Linked DNA regions of Caenorhabditis elegans. The protein of the gene in region 2 purifies or fractionates together with the protein of the main gene of each other region. This does not show direct contact. Each region holds a gene or a part of one and is shown on either strand. Other genes may lie near its edges. The genes, in order: spt-16 and srrt-1.

Region 1 (6,812 bases), 6.7 Mb from region 2:
TTCAGCGGAACAATAATATTACCAATTTTCTGAAATCCTGTAATCTTCTCAGCAGCTTTAATGGCTTCATCCATCGTCAAAGTTCCTATTTTTTCATTACTTCTCATCATTTTTCCACGTGTTTTTCGACTCGTTCTCGTAGATGCTGAATCGGAACCCGAAACTGAATCATCCTTCAGTTTTAACCGTTTTGCCACTGGGCCAGGTGGTTTCGGCATCTGTAAATCGGAAATTAGCGAGTTTATTCAATTAAAAAATTATTTTCAGCAAAATTCCCACTCACCGAACCCACAAATCCACCGCAATCAGAGGGCTAAGTGCAAGACACGTGGCATGTCAAGAGCATTCCAATGCTCCACCCTCTGCATACGATCTTCATGTTTCAAGCAACTGCTTATTACACAGACGTCTAAAATTAAAACTTTTCGCCAAATGGGTCTCGCCACGAGGACTACGGTAACTCGTGTCTATGACGCTTTTGCATAATATTCTAAAGCGGCTCGAAGATCAACACGAGCTACAGTAACCTGTCGTCTGCGCGGCGAGACCCATTTGGCAAAACTTTTCCTTTTTAGAAATCTGTATAATTTTGTTGTTGTAATATTAATCAGAAAAAGTAGAAACGGAAACATTTTCAGAAAACCGACAAAATTATGTAAAAACGTGCCTCCATGAAACTTCATTTGACATTAATTGATTTTGAAATCAAAAATATTTTAGCATCGACTCAAATTTTGAGTGGGAAAGAAAAATAAGGGGATTGACAGATTTTAGTTGTAAAATTGTTGTAAAATGGGGGGTGTAACGGGACGGATTGATTGATTGAGATGCGAAGAAAATTCTTGGGGATTTAAATAGTTGAAAAACAAAACAAAAGAATAAAACGGAGGAAATTATACAAACAGGATTTACTTTCTGCGTTTGTGCGATGGTCCAGACTTGCTCGAATGTGGTCTCTTACGATCACGATCACGTGAAGGTTCTTCGACTTCACGTCTCTTATCAGCATTCGCTGCTTCTTCCTCCAAATCTGACCAATCTTTTCCTTCTGATTCATCGGAATCCAACGATCCTTCATCATCATCATCGGATTCAGTCTCTTCACCTTCACTTTCATCTTCATCACTTTCACTTCCTGATCCAGCAGATGCATCTTCTTCTTCAGGATCATAAGCATCCGAATCATCAGAATCATCCATTGCCTCTTCATTATCAGATTCAACATTAAGGAAACTCCATCCACCTTCTTCAAAGAATGCTTCAAGATCATCAGTGATTGTCTTCATAACTTTTGCCCAATTCAGTGATTGAATTCCTTCACTGTACCAAATATCACAAGTATGAAGCCATTCTTTTATCTTATCGATGCTGCTCATCGGGATTTGGGCGACCATCTGAGGTTTGATCTTGTAATCTTTGAAGATGAAGACCATATCGAAATTCTTGAGTTGAAGAGAGACACGTTCAAAGTGGACAAGTTCAACTTCGGAGAGTGTGACGATGAATGTAGGCTGAAAATAAATAAAATATAAAAGAATTCAGGAATAAAATTCAAAAAACATACCCATTCGGTGAGATTAACAAGGCACGATGCAGTTGGTTTGAGTGTGGTAGCCGAACGATACGGAACTCCAAAGAATCCGAGTCCAGCGAACGGAGAATCGAATTCAAATTGATCATTTGTGAGACGAGACACCTTCTCGCAGAAACTATTAAATGCAGCATTGAGACGACGACGCATTTCACGTTCTTGCTGTTCACTCTGCATATCATCACGATCTTGCATATGATGATACTTTCCAAGATCCGTAGTGATTTCTCCGACTTCTGTGTAGAATTGAACATCCTTATACTTCTTCTTTCCCCACAATACTGGATTCTTGAGATGGAAGTGCAGAAGGATGATCATTTCATTGTCGCACGGTTGGAAGAATGCATGTTTGATGTTGTTGTAGAGAACATCAATACGATCACCACGAAGAGATGTGTATCTGGAAAATCATTGAAATAAAAATAGGAAATTTTGAGCTTTTAGATTTTTTTTGTTTAAATAGACTAAAACTGATCCGAAACGGCATAATTTCGAAACGAAAGTTTTCAAATTTGGCAATTTTTGAGTTCAGAAACATTCGTTTTCCTTCAAAACTGTACCTAAATCCATTAGTGTGGGCCTCCAACGATCCAGTGATACGCTTTTGAATAATATTCGGACGAATCAGAAGATCCTTGAGCTTCGGATTCAATTTGTTCTGGCTCAAAATCAATTTGTCCTGCTTCACAGCTCCTTCCTTCTCCCGCTCTTCAGCCTCTTCAGTCTTGAATCTCTTCTGCATTTCCTTGATGAGTCGGAATGCGGTGCTCAAATTATGGCTCGGCGCAGTCGAATCACTGTGATGATCCTTGATGTTACTCGCACGGAACGTGAGCTCCTTCATATAGTGTGCAAGTGGATGTGGGAATTGCCCACTATCCTTTCCAACTTGAGATCCTGGAGTGGCAAAGTTGATTCGAAGATATGTGAAATCTCCTTCAACTGATTGCGAACAATTCTTTATCATGGAGATATGGAATGGGACAGGAATTCCAAATATTGGAACAACCACAGAATCATACTTGCGATCCACGAAAATCAACATCTTCTGAACGTCTGCATCTTGTGGGAATCTCTCTTCGGTTTTATATGACACATTCGATTTCTTCGACTTTTTCTCATCGGTCCCACCGCCTTGCTTTGAAAGACGAGCTTTTGCGAGCTCATTCAACTGAACTCCGAGCTCTTTCTGACGTTCCTTACGTAACTCTTCGTTTGTCGTCTTATTTCTCGTCTGATCAGTTAGAACGACACTTCTCTGACCTCTTCCGAGCATTTTCTTCTGATCATTGTCCTTTTCAGCTTCACGGTTTTCCTGCTCCTCTTTGAATTTGATGACGTTGGACTTCAGGCGTGATTTGGCTTTTTCGGTGAGAATCTCGTTATCGCCTTCTTCTTTAACCAAAATTGTATCCGAGATTGCAATTGCGGCGGGTTTTCCTTTTTCTCCTTTATTTTTGTTTGGAATACTATCGACACCAATATAAACGATGAAGACCATTCCTGCTTTGACAACCTCGTCACACTTCGCACTGATAGCAAGACGACTCTCACGGAATTCGATTCCAGTCGCAAATCCAAGCTCTTTCTTGTTCAGAGTTTCAGCAAGTTTTGGACTTTTCTCCGTCAATGTATCGATTCCAATTTTATAAACATCGCTCAGCTTGGCTCCTGGCTTCAGAGCAGCAATTACTGCCAGCTCGGCGGCAAGAATCGCTTCATAGGCAGTCTCAAGTTCAGAAGATGGGAAGATGAGCATAGTTCGCGTCAAATTTGTGCAATATTCTGATAAACGAGCTCCGAACGAAGTGATGATCGTTCCAAACTGGCTGTGAAGATGAGATTCCGAGCTTTCATGATTCCATTTGAACGAGTAATTTCCACCGGACATTACGATTGGATCATAGCATGTGTCGGCTTCATACTTGGCCAGTGCCTGTTGTACTTTTGAATCCTTCATGAAGGCGGCAAACTCATTGGAGAGAACAGAGTGACGGACTCGCTGCAAAAATAAAAAAGAATTATTTTCTCGGGATTAAAACAGTGGTTTTCCCAGGAGTACTAAAAAATGAGCCAGTTATTGGTGATAGATAAAAGGAAAAACAGTTTAGTCATCTAAAAATAGCTTTACATTTAATTGAAACAACTGGAAGAACGCTCAAAAACTGCATGAAAGTTTAATTTTCGGGTGATTTCCAACTTTCAGATTGATTTTGAGCAGTTCTTCCGCTTTTTCAATTGAATTAAAAGCTATTTTCAGATACATCAACTGCTTCATTATATTCTATCACCAAAAACTGGCTAATTATGTAGAAATGCTTGCAGCGGACTCCTGGTTCAACTATTTTCAGAACGATAAGCACCTTTTCTTGATCAATGATCTCTACGTAGCGAGCTCTTGCAGCTGTCCATGATGCGGTTGTAGCTTGTGCTGATTTTCGAATCAAATCCATCTCCTTATCGTCTTTCACTGCGAACAGATGAGTAAACGCGAGAGTGACGTCATTCTTATTGACACCGCCTTCCTCGAGCGCCTTATTCCACGAACTGACGAATTCCGAGCTGAATTTCTCTTTGACGAAATTTCCAACATCTCCGCCGGCACTTTTGATGTGATCGATGAGCTTTTCAAAGTTTCCAGCGTCTTTGTCGGTTTTATCGCGGAGCAGTGTGCTGACTGTTGGCACTTTTCCTGAGCTCTGATTGTCTCCAGTGACTGATCCGAAGAATTCGACTTTGCGATTACTTCCGAGAATGTAAATGTGATCTTTGAGAAGCAACAGGACTGTGTCAGCGATTTCGTGGCCAAACAGCCAGGTCTGAAATAAAAATTTGTCTTGAGTTTGAACAAATTCTGAAAAATCCTTACAAATAGTGCGCTGGTCTTTGTATATGGATTATCAGTCTCTCCGTATACAAAAGCAAGTGATTTGATCGAATCTAGACCATCGGCTCCCTTCTCCTGTAAAATATTTGATTAAAAATTCGTAAAGTCCTGAAAGTCACAAACCCAGTGCTCATAAAGCCTCTCCGCTCTCTGGAAAAAGAGATCCTTGTTGAGAACTGCCCGTTTTCCAGACATTTCTCCCCTGAAAGTTAGAAATTGTGTTAAAGTCACGAGGATTGAGAGATGGAAGCAAAAATCGATAACGTAAACAAAGTGACCAGCAACGGATTCGGATAGGCTAAAAGTTTGAAATTTGCGAAAAAATTAATTTTTTTTGACACAATTTTAAAATTTTGAAAAAAACGTTTTGACGAGACAAATATTTTTTCACTGAAGAACTGTAAACTCTGAAAAATTAGAGCTGAAAGTGAGGATTGCGCGCGAAAAAGAATGGAATGAAGTTGGGCGTGGTCAAGGAACGCAACAGCCGCACGCACTTTCGCAACCACTCCGCATGCAATATTCCCGCCATGTTATTTACGGAGGGGCCATGTGAGAGTACACAATTGTGATGAATTCTTGAAGAAACATCAATTCCAGCGAGAGTTCAGAAAGTGGAGTTTCTGTAGGGTAGAAGATGTGGAATAAGTGATGAGATTATGTTGAGCGGGATGTAGGATGTCAGAAGAATCGTTGAAAAGAACAGAGTTGTAGATACAACAAGTCTTCGGAAATGCCGCGTGAACGGTAGATCAATTATTTCTTGAATTGGATTAAAGTCGGGATCGTTGAGATTTCTCATAAACCATAGTACACCAGGACGAAGGATTTCTCGAAGAAGAATCACAAATGACGCTGAATAAAATACATAAATCATTCCAACCATCCAATGAAGGAATATTGACATGAATGGAGCTGTGGCAAATGTTGCAATTCTTTGTGATAATGTTATATTGAATAATGGAAGTGTACAAACATCCATCCAACATCCACACATTACAGGGAAAAATCCAATTTCCAAGAATACCAGCAAGAAGACTATAATGATAAGGAGAGATGGCATTTGGGAACTAGTTTCAGATTCGGAATGCTAAAATATATTGAAGTTAAAGTCGACTTTTAGCAATTATTACGCCGGCAATTGCGAAAAATCCTGAAAGAAAAGTTTAATATTTTTCCTTTTCAGATAATCAAAGTTACAAATCCGGTTGTAATCCTACGATAGTGCCTACAATATTTCAGGCCTTGAAACGCAGACAACAGTAAAATTATAAGAACTTTAGAAAATTTTGAGGAGTTTAGCTCTACATCTGTCAATTTGGTATAAATTATCTGTTTTCTGAAAAATAAAGTATTTAACTATTTTAACAGCGGTCCACAAGAGAAACGGACGAAATATTTGAAGAAATTTTAAAAATTTAAAAAAAAACCGCGATAGGGTTGGTTAAAGGGACATCGGCTTACTCGGATGGGTCTCGACACGATTGTGGTTTTGCGTTGTTGTCGACGAACATTTTTGAATTCTAATTTTTTCCCTATTTTTTTGCCATAAAAGCTGTAGAATTGCTATATTTTTAAAATGTTTTCCATCGAAAAATTGTGAGATTGAGTTTGAAAATTACCGAGTTCCATTTTATTTTCATTGGATCTGTTTTTGATAGTTTTTACTTTTTTACAAATATTTTACAGGAGAAGGGAGCCGATGGTCTAGATTCGATCAAATCACTTGCTTTTGTATACGGAGAGACTGATAATCCATATACAAAGACCAGCGAACTATTTGTAAGGATTTTTCAGACTTTGTTCAAACTCAAGACAAATTTTTATTTCAGACCTGGCTTTTTGGCCACGAAATCGCTGACACAGTCCTGTTGCTTCTCAATGATCACATTTACATTCTCGGAAGTAATCGCAAAGTCGAATTCTTCGGATCAGTCACTGGAGACAATCAGAGCTCAGGAAAAGTGCCAACAGTCAGCACACTGCTCCGCGATAAAACCGATAAAGACGCTGGAAACTTTGAAAAGCTCATTGATCACATCAAAAGTGCAGGCGGAGATGTTGGAAATTTCGTCAAAGAGAAATTCAGCTCGGAATTCGTCAGTTCGTGGAATAAGGCGCTCGAGGAAGGCGGTGTCAATAAGAATGACGTTACTCTCGCGTTTACTCATCTGTTCGCAGTTAAAGACGATAAGGAGATGGATTTGATTCGAAAATCAGCACAGGCTACAACCGCATCATGGACAGCTGCGAGAGCTCGCTACGTGGAGATCAGTGATAATGAAAAGGTGCTTATCGTTCTGAAAATAGTTGAACTGGGAGTTCTTTTGGTGA
Region 2 (5,471 bases):
CTGAGAATGCGTATGGTGCAACATATTTGGCGAGCACAATATCGTGTAGCGAAAACTACCGTAATTCTTCAAATGACTACTGTAGCGCTTGTGTCGATTTACGGGATTGATTTTCGAAAATAATTAAAATTCTTTATTTATCGAAAAAATATAGAAAATTATGTGAAGAAACCCTGTCACTATTCGAAAAGAAATTAATCTCAAAAAATCTAGCCCGTAAATCGACAACAGCGCTACAGTAGTCATTTAAAGAATTACTGTAGTTTTCGCTACGAGACAATCTGCGCGTCAAATATGTTGCGCAATACACATTCTCAGCTCCCGTAATACTTGAAATCCAACTTTCAACATTCTGTATTTTTCCAGACAGTAACCCACCAAGATGATCCCATTGCTCCTGTGTTCTACCTCCGACTGAAAAAGATGCACTTGGAGGACAAGTGAGATGGGAAAACATGTACTTTTGTTAATTTTAAATGTTATATTTACTTTTCTTGTTATGATGATTGTTTTCTAATAAAAAGTTCCGTTGAGTTACACAGAATCATATTTCATTAGGGACGTATTGAAAATGGAGCGTTTTTTAAAAAAGGAGATTATTATTGGCCATACAAAAACATTTAGTTAAAACTAATATTTAATTGAGAAGGGGGAAATAAATAGCATAATTTGTTGTGCATATATTTGAATTGGATTCAACGTAGGATGGAATTATGGAATATCATCTGGAGCATCCAAATCGCGATACGAGACTGGCTGACGACGTGGCGCATCCTCGAAGTAGCGTCCACCACCACCTCGTCCACCAAGTGAATGTCGAGGAGGGAATTGGGGACGACGATCATATCCTCCACCGCCAAAAGAGTTTCCTGAAAATTAATCATATTTATGAAATTTCAAGAGTTGAACAACTCACTTCCTCCACCACCAGGTCCTCGATCATCGTCTCGTTCTCTTCCATATCCACCTCGCTCACCACCACCACCTCCACGATGATCATCTCTTGGAGCTTGTTTGGGCTCACAGTCGACTGGTCTTTGGGCGTCGGCAAGATAATTGTTGAAAAAGTCAGCTTCTGCTCTCGCTTCCTCCAGCTTGTCTTCATGTTTAGACTGCAAGTGCTTTCGGATGAATTCAGGTCCCTTGAATTTCTTTCCAGAAAGCGGACAGAGCCATTTATCCTTTGCCAACTCGACAGTATTCTTTTGAATAAAAGCTTCAACTTCCCTGAAAATTTGGGTTTGTTAAAAATTATTTTTAAAAAAGCAAATTTTTTCACTTACTTTTCTCCATCCTTCTTGCCCATTTTCTCCAATTCTTCCTCGCTTACATACTGCTTTTCAATCAACCCTTTCTCAATGCGGCTATTGAATCCCGAAATAAAATCGTTCACAAATTTCTGTGGAACGACGAGAGCTCCATCCTCGTCAGTAGTGATTGATACTCCAGAAGGCGGCTGCCCACGAACGTGAATCAAGCCACATCGATTCGGCATCGAATCTTCCTGCGCATAATGTCCGTGATTATAAAAATCGATGGAATGAACAATGCGAAGGTAAACGATGAGAAGATCGAGAGCCTTCAGGATATTATCATCGCGCTCAAACCGAATCTTTTCAGCTGGTGCTTCACCTCCATTCGAGACTCCCAATAATTCAGCTTCCTCTTCACTAATATCATTGAGAACATCATGTGGAACAAGTGATTTAACTTCTTTAATCAACGGATTCGTTGAAGCAGCGACTAAATCAACGCCCATACGAATATCCATCTCACGATCAGCATCAGCTTCATCAGCAGCGTTGAACAAACCAATCTTCTTGTCATAAAGAACAGTGAGCTTGACAGCAAGCTTCAGATCGTTAATCGCAACTTGCTTATGAGATGCAATCCCATTATTGGTACGAACACGACGAGTAATGTCACGGTTGATGATTGCATTCAGATCAGTTTCTCGCAGACGATGTGCGTTGAGTGCCCAGCAGATTTCTTTGATATTGATATCTCGCTTGAATGTAGCCCATCCTCTTCTGTAGAACTTTCTTTCGGCAATTCCATCGGTCAGAGCAAGACGTAAAAATCCTGGGCTCTTTTTACAGAGACCCTCTAGTTCCTCATATGTGAGACCTGGTGGGATATTTCTCAAGAAAACCGAGCAGGTTCTGTGGATGTTGACCTTGTTCGATGACTTTTCGGTTCCATCTTCAATGGCTCCCTCTTCCAACTCTTCCGTTGCTCCGGATTCTTGTTTTACTTCTGGCTCTTCTTTCGGCTGTTCGGTTCCATTCCCATTCTCGTCTTTTTTAATGTCAGCGAGTGACTCGTCTTCTAGTTTTTGAGCCAGAACAGCTTTCAACTCGTCTTCAGTTCCATTTTCCAGCTTGACAACAACTGAAAATACAACAAAATTAAACATATATTCGAAACCTTTAAAAACAAAATCTACCTGAATCTAGCATTCTAATGATTGCCTCCGCATCTCCGAAATCCAGAGAGAATTTATTGAATTGTCCCTGCTCCTTCAACTCATTGAAAACCTGCAAGCGCTTCTGCACATTTTCCAAATGCGCCTCTCGCAACTTCTTCGCATCATCCGGTTTGTATTTAAGACGGAACCTGAAATAGATGTTGAAAAATTAGAACTCAAGATATTAAAAGACAACGGGTATTGGAACAAAATGTGAATGGCATCCGTGCCGAGTGAAAAATTCAAAGATATAACCAATCCGTTGACCGCGGCATAATGCGCCTCTGGTCTTGAAAATCGAAGCTGAAATTTACCATTCTTCGTCTTTATGGGCACGGAAGAACCGTTCAAGTTGATGTTTTCTATGTTCTGTCTTGTACTCATTATATTTTTTGATAGCATCTTCTTCCGAGATATCATCTTCCTGGCTAGTGAGGAACTTTTTGAATGTTTGAAGTGGTCCCGAATATATGGAATCCGATTCAGTGGGTAAATCCGAACCATTACCAGAACGACTTACGGGATCGAAACTGTCATCTGCGTCGCTGAAAAAACATAGATTTTCAACGTAAACAAAAAACGATACTAACTCTCCACGACTCCGCTTTACTTGGTAATCATCTCTTCGTCCTCCAGGACGCTTGTTGTCATAGCGATTGAATCCGCCTCCACCACGGCGATAACTGAAACAGAATGAGTGATTTTTTAGTATTTGAAATATAATAGAAAGAAACTTACTCCTCATCACGACGTTCACGGGCGAATTTGTCACGGCGGCGATCGCCATCATCATCAGAGTCCACCATTCTGTAAATAAGAATTTATTTGATAAATTGAAGTGATTCAGAAGAAATCAAATTTATTTGGATCAAAATAAACACATTTTGCGAGCAGAAAATGCAGAAAATCACTGAAAAATATGCTAAAGAACGCGCAATGTTTTTTTCCAATTTGAACGCTGCACGCCGCACGGTTAAAGTGGGCGGAGACTTGCTCGGCAACACCGCCGCGCAGAAATTCTGTTCTTTTTTATCTCCAGTCATTTTCGAAATCATTTTTTTATTGAATTCCGGAATTTTTTGATTGCGCGCCGATTTCTACTTCAATTCACAAGATGAGTGATATTTCTTTGGATTATGAAGGCAGTTCAGATGATTCACGAAGTTCAAGATCATCGTCGAGAGAGGTACTTTGCCGTTTTGCACGTTCAAAAAATGTTATTTTCATTTAAAATTACTTTTAGAACAGAAGAAGAACGAATAGTGGCAGCGGGGACAAAGACAAACCAATGTGGAAGTCAAAAAGGTGAGTTTTCAATCAATTTTTGCTTAAAAAATACAACATTTTCTCAAACCAGAATAGGAAAATCGCGCTTTTTAAACTTGGATTTTTTCGATTTTCTTTTGTAATATTTCTAAATTTGAGACTACTTTGGATTTTCTGAAGCGAAATTTACGTTTTTTTAAAATAAAAATAATTATAATTTATAATTTCAGAGATTCCTCCAGAAGTAGTCGAAGTAGAAGCCGTTCAAGTTCCGAATCAGACTCCCGTTCTCGATCTTCAAGCCCAGTTGTAAAAAATTCGCCTCCAAAACGAAAACGAGAGCCAATTCGTGCTCCGAGTGCCTCACCGCCACGAAGACGTCGTGATGATTCTCCAAGAAAACGAAGCCGATCTCCACCACGTCGTACTCGTCGTAGTCCTTCTCCACCAAGACGTCGTCGAATTTCAAGGAGCCCAGTCAGAAGAAGCCGATCTCCACCACGACGTCAAGTTTCCAGGAGTCGATCTCCTCCTCCGAGAAGACAACAACGCTCAAGAAGTCCACCACCAGCAAAACGTAGACGAGATCAGAGCCGTTCAAAGTCTCCACCAAGAAGAAATTATAGACAACGACAACGAAGCGGCTCGCCGCCTGTTAGAAATTGGAGGGATGAAGAAGAAAATCGTAGAGCTGAAATGTGGTCAAAAAGACGTTTCCAGCGAGTTAATATCCAAGCCGATGGCCTGAATAACATCTGGGGACATTCGCCAACTCATGAGGAGATACATGACACTTATAAATTGAGAGTTGCGGCTGAAGAGATTCAAGCAGAAAATGAAAAGAAACGAGAAGAACTGAAAGAAGATAGAAGGAAGGAGAAGAAAAGAGAAATGAGAGCAGTTAGAAATGTTTCTGAAGACGATTCTTCGACATCTTCTGAATCGGAGGAAAGTGATTTTGAACAGAAGAAGAAGAAGAAGGTGAAGAAATCAAAGAAAAGTAAAAAGGATAAAAAGAAGGAAAAGAAAGAGAAGAAAAAGAGCAAAAAGGCAAATAAGGAGAAAGAAGAGAGAAGAGCTCGTCGTGAGCAACGAAAGAAAGAACGTGCTGAGCTGAAGAGAAAGATTAATAATCGTTCTGATACTGAAGAAGAATGGGAAGAAAAGCAGTCTGAAAAGATTGTTGGCACGATTGGAACATGGAAAGAAGGAAGTATGTCACCGACGCCAATTCTCCCAGAACATATTAAACAACGTGATCAAGGTGGTGGTTATGATGTTGAGAAGCCCGGAAACTATGGTAAAGATCTACTAAAAGGAGAGGGCGCCGGAATGGCTGCGTACGCGGCTCGCGGAGAACGTATTCCACGACGAGGAGAAATCGGTTTATCGTCTGGAGAGATTGCTGAATACGAAAAAGTTGGTTATGTGATGTCCGGATCTCGACACAAGGCAATGGAGGCGACGAGATTGAGAAAAGAAAACCAGGTGAGGGTTTATTGAACAATTTTTTTACAAATTGGGAAAAATTGTAAACTGCTGTTAAATTTGGTAGTAAATTAAAAAAAATCAGAACGTAACCAGAAAAAAGACAATTTAAAGCAAAATATGGCCCAAGCAAGGGTGCCGATTTTCGATTTTTCGATTTTTAACCATAAAATTTGATTTTTCATTTTATTTAGTTTAAATTGTTGAGAAAAAATGTGGAGAATGTTCCATTTTTAGTTTCTTCAAAAAT

What was found.
Region 1: the proteins of srrt-1 (region 2) and spt-16 fractionate together in Caenorhabditis elegans (co-fractionation; one large-scale study listed by BioGRID). This does not show direct contact.

Annotation. Positions count from the first base shown.
Region 1 is NC_003279.8:10,786,998-10,793,809, reverse strand, and holds spt-16 (FACT complex subunit spt-16), read right to left. Parts: upstream 4,681-6,812; 5' UTR 4,674-4,680; coding exon 4,602-4,673; intron 4,554-4,601; coding exon 4,461-4,553; intron 4,411-4,460; coding exon 3,955-4,410; intron 3,594-3,954; coding exon 2,152-3,593; intron 1,992-2,151; coding exon 1,565-1,991; intron 1,512-1,564; coding exon 909-1,511; 3' UTR 658-908; downstream 1-657. Other genes in the region: F55A3.2 (C2H2-type domain-containing protein), read right to left, coding at 23-218. UniProt on the Caenorhabditis elegans protein: Component of the FACT complex, a general chromatin factor that acts to reorganize nucleosomes. The FACT complex is involved in multiple processes that require DNA as a template such as mRNA elongation, DNA replication and DNA repair.
Region 2 is NC_003279.8:4,130,303-4,135,773, reverse strand, and holds srrt-1 (Serrate RNA effector molecule homolog), read right to left. Parts: upstream 3,275-5,471; 5' UTR 3,274-3,274; coding exon 3,206-3,273; intron 3,151-3,205; coding exon 3,058-3,150; intron 3,013-3,057; coding exon 2,782-3,012; intron 2,617-2,781; coding exon 2,447-2,616; intron 2,392-2,446; coding exon 1,284-2,391; intron 1,228-1,283; coding exon 917-1,227; intron 870-916; coding exon 712-869; 3' UTR 537-711; downstream 1-536. Other genes in the region: dph-6 (Diphthine--ammonia ligase), read left to right, coding at 367-444; let-504 (NF-kappa-B-activating protein C-terminal domain-containing protein), read left to right, coding at 3,582-3,653, 3,711-3,772, 3,964-5,221. UniProt on the Caenorhabditis elegans protein: Acts as a mediator between the cap-binding complex (CBC) and the primary microRNAs (miRNAs) processing machinery.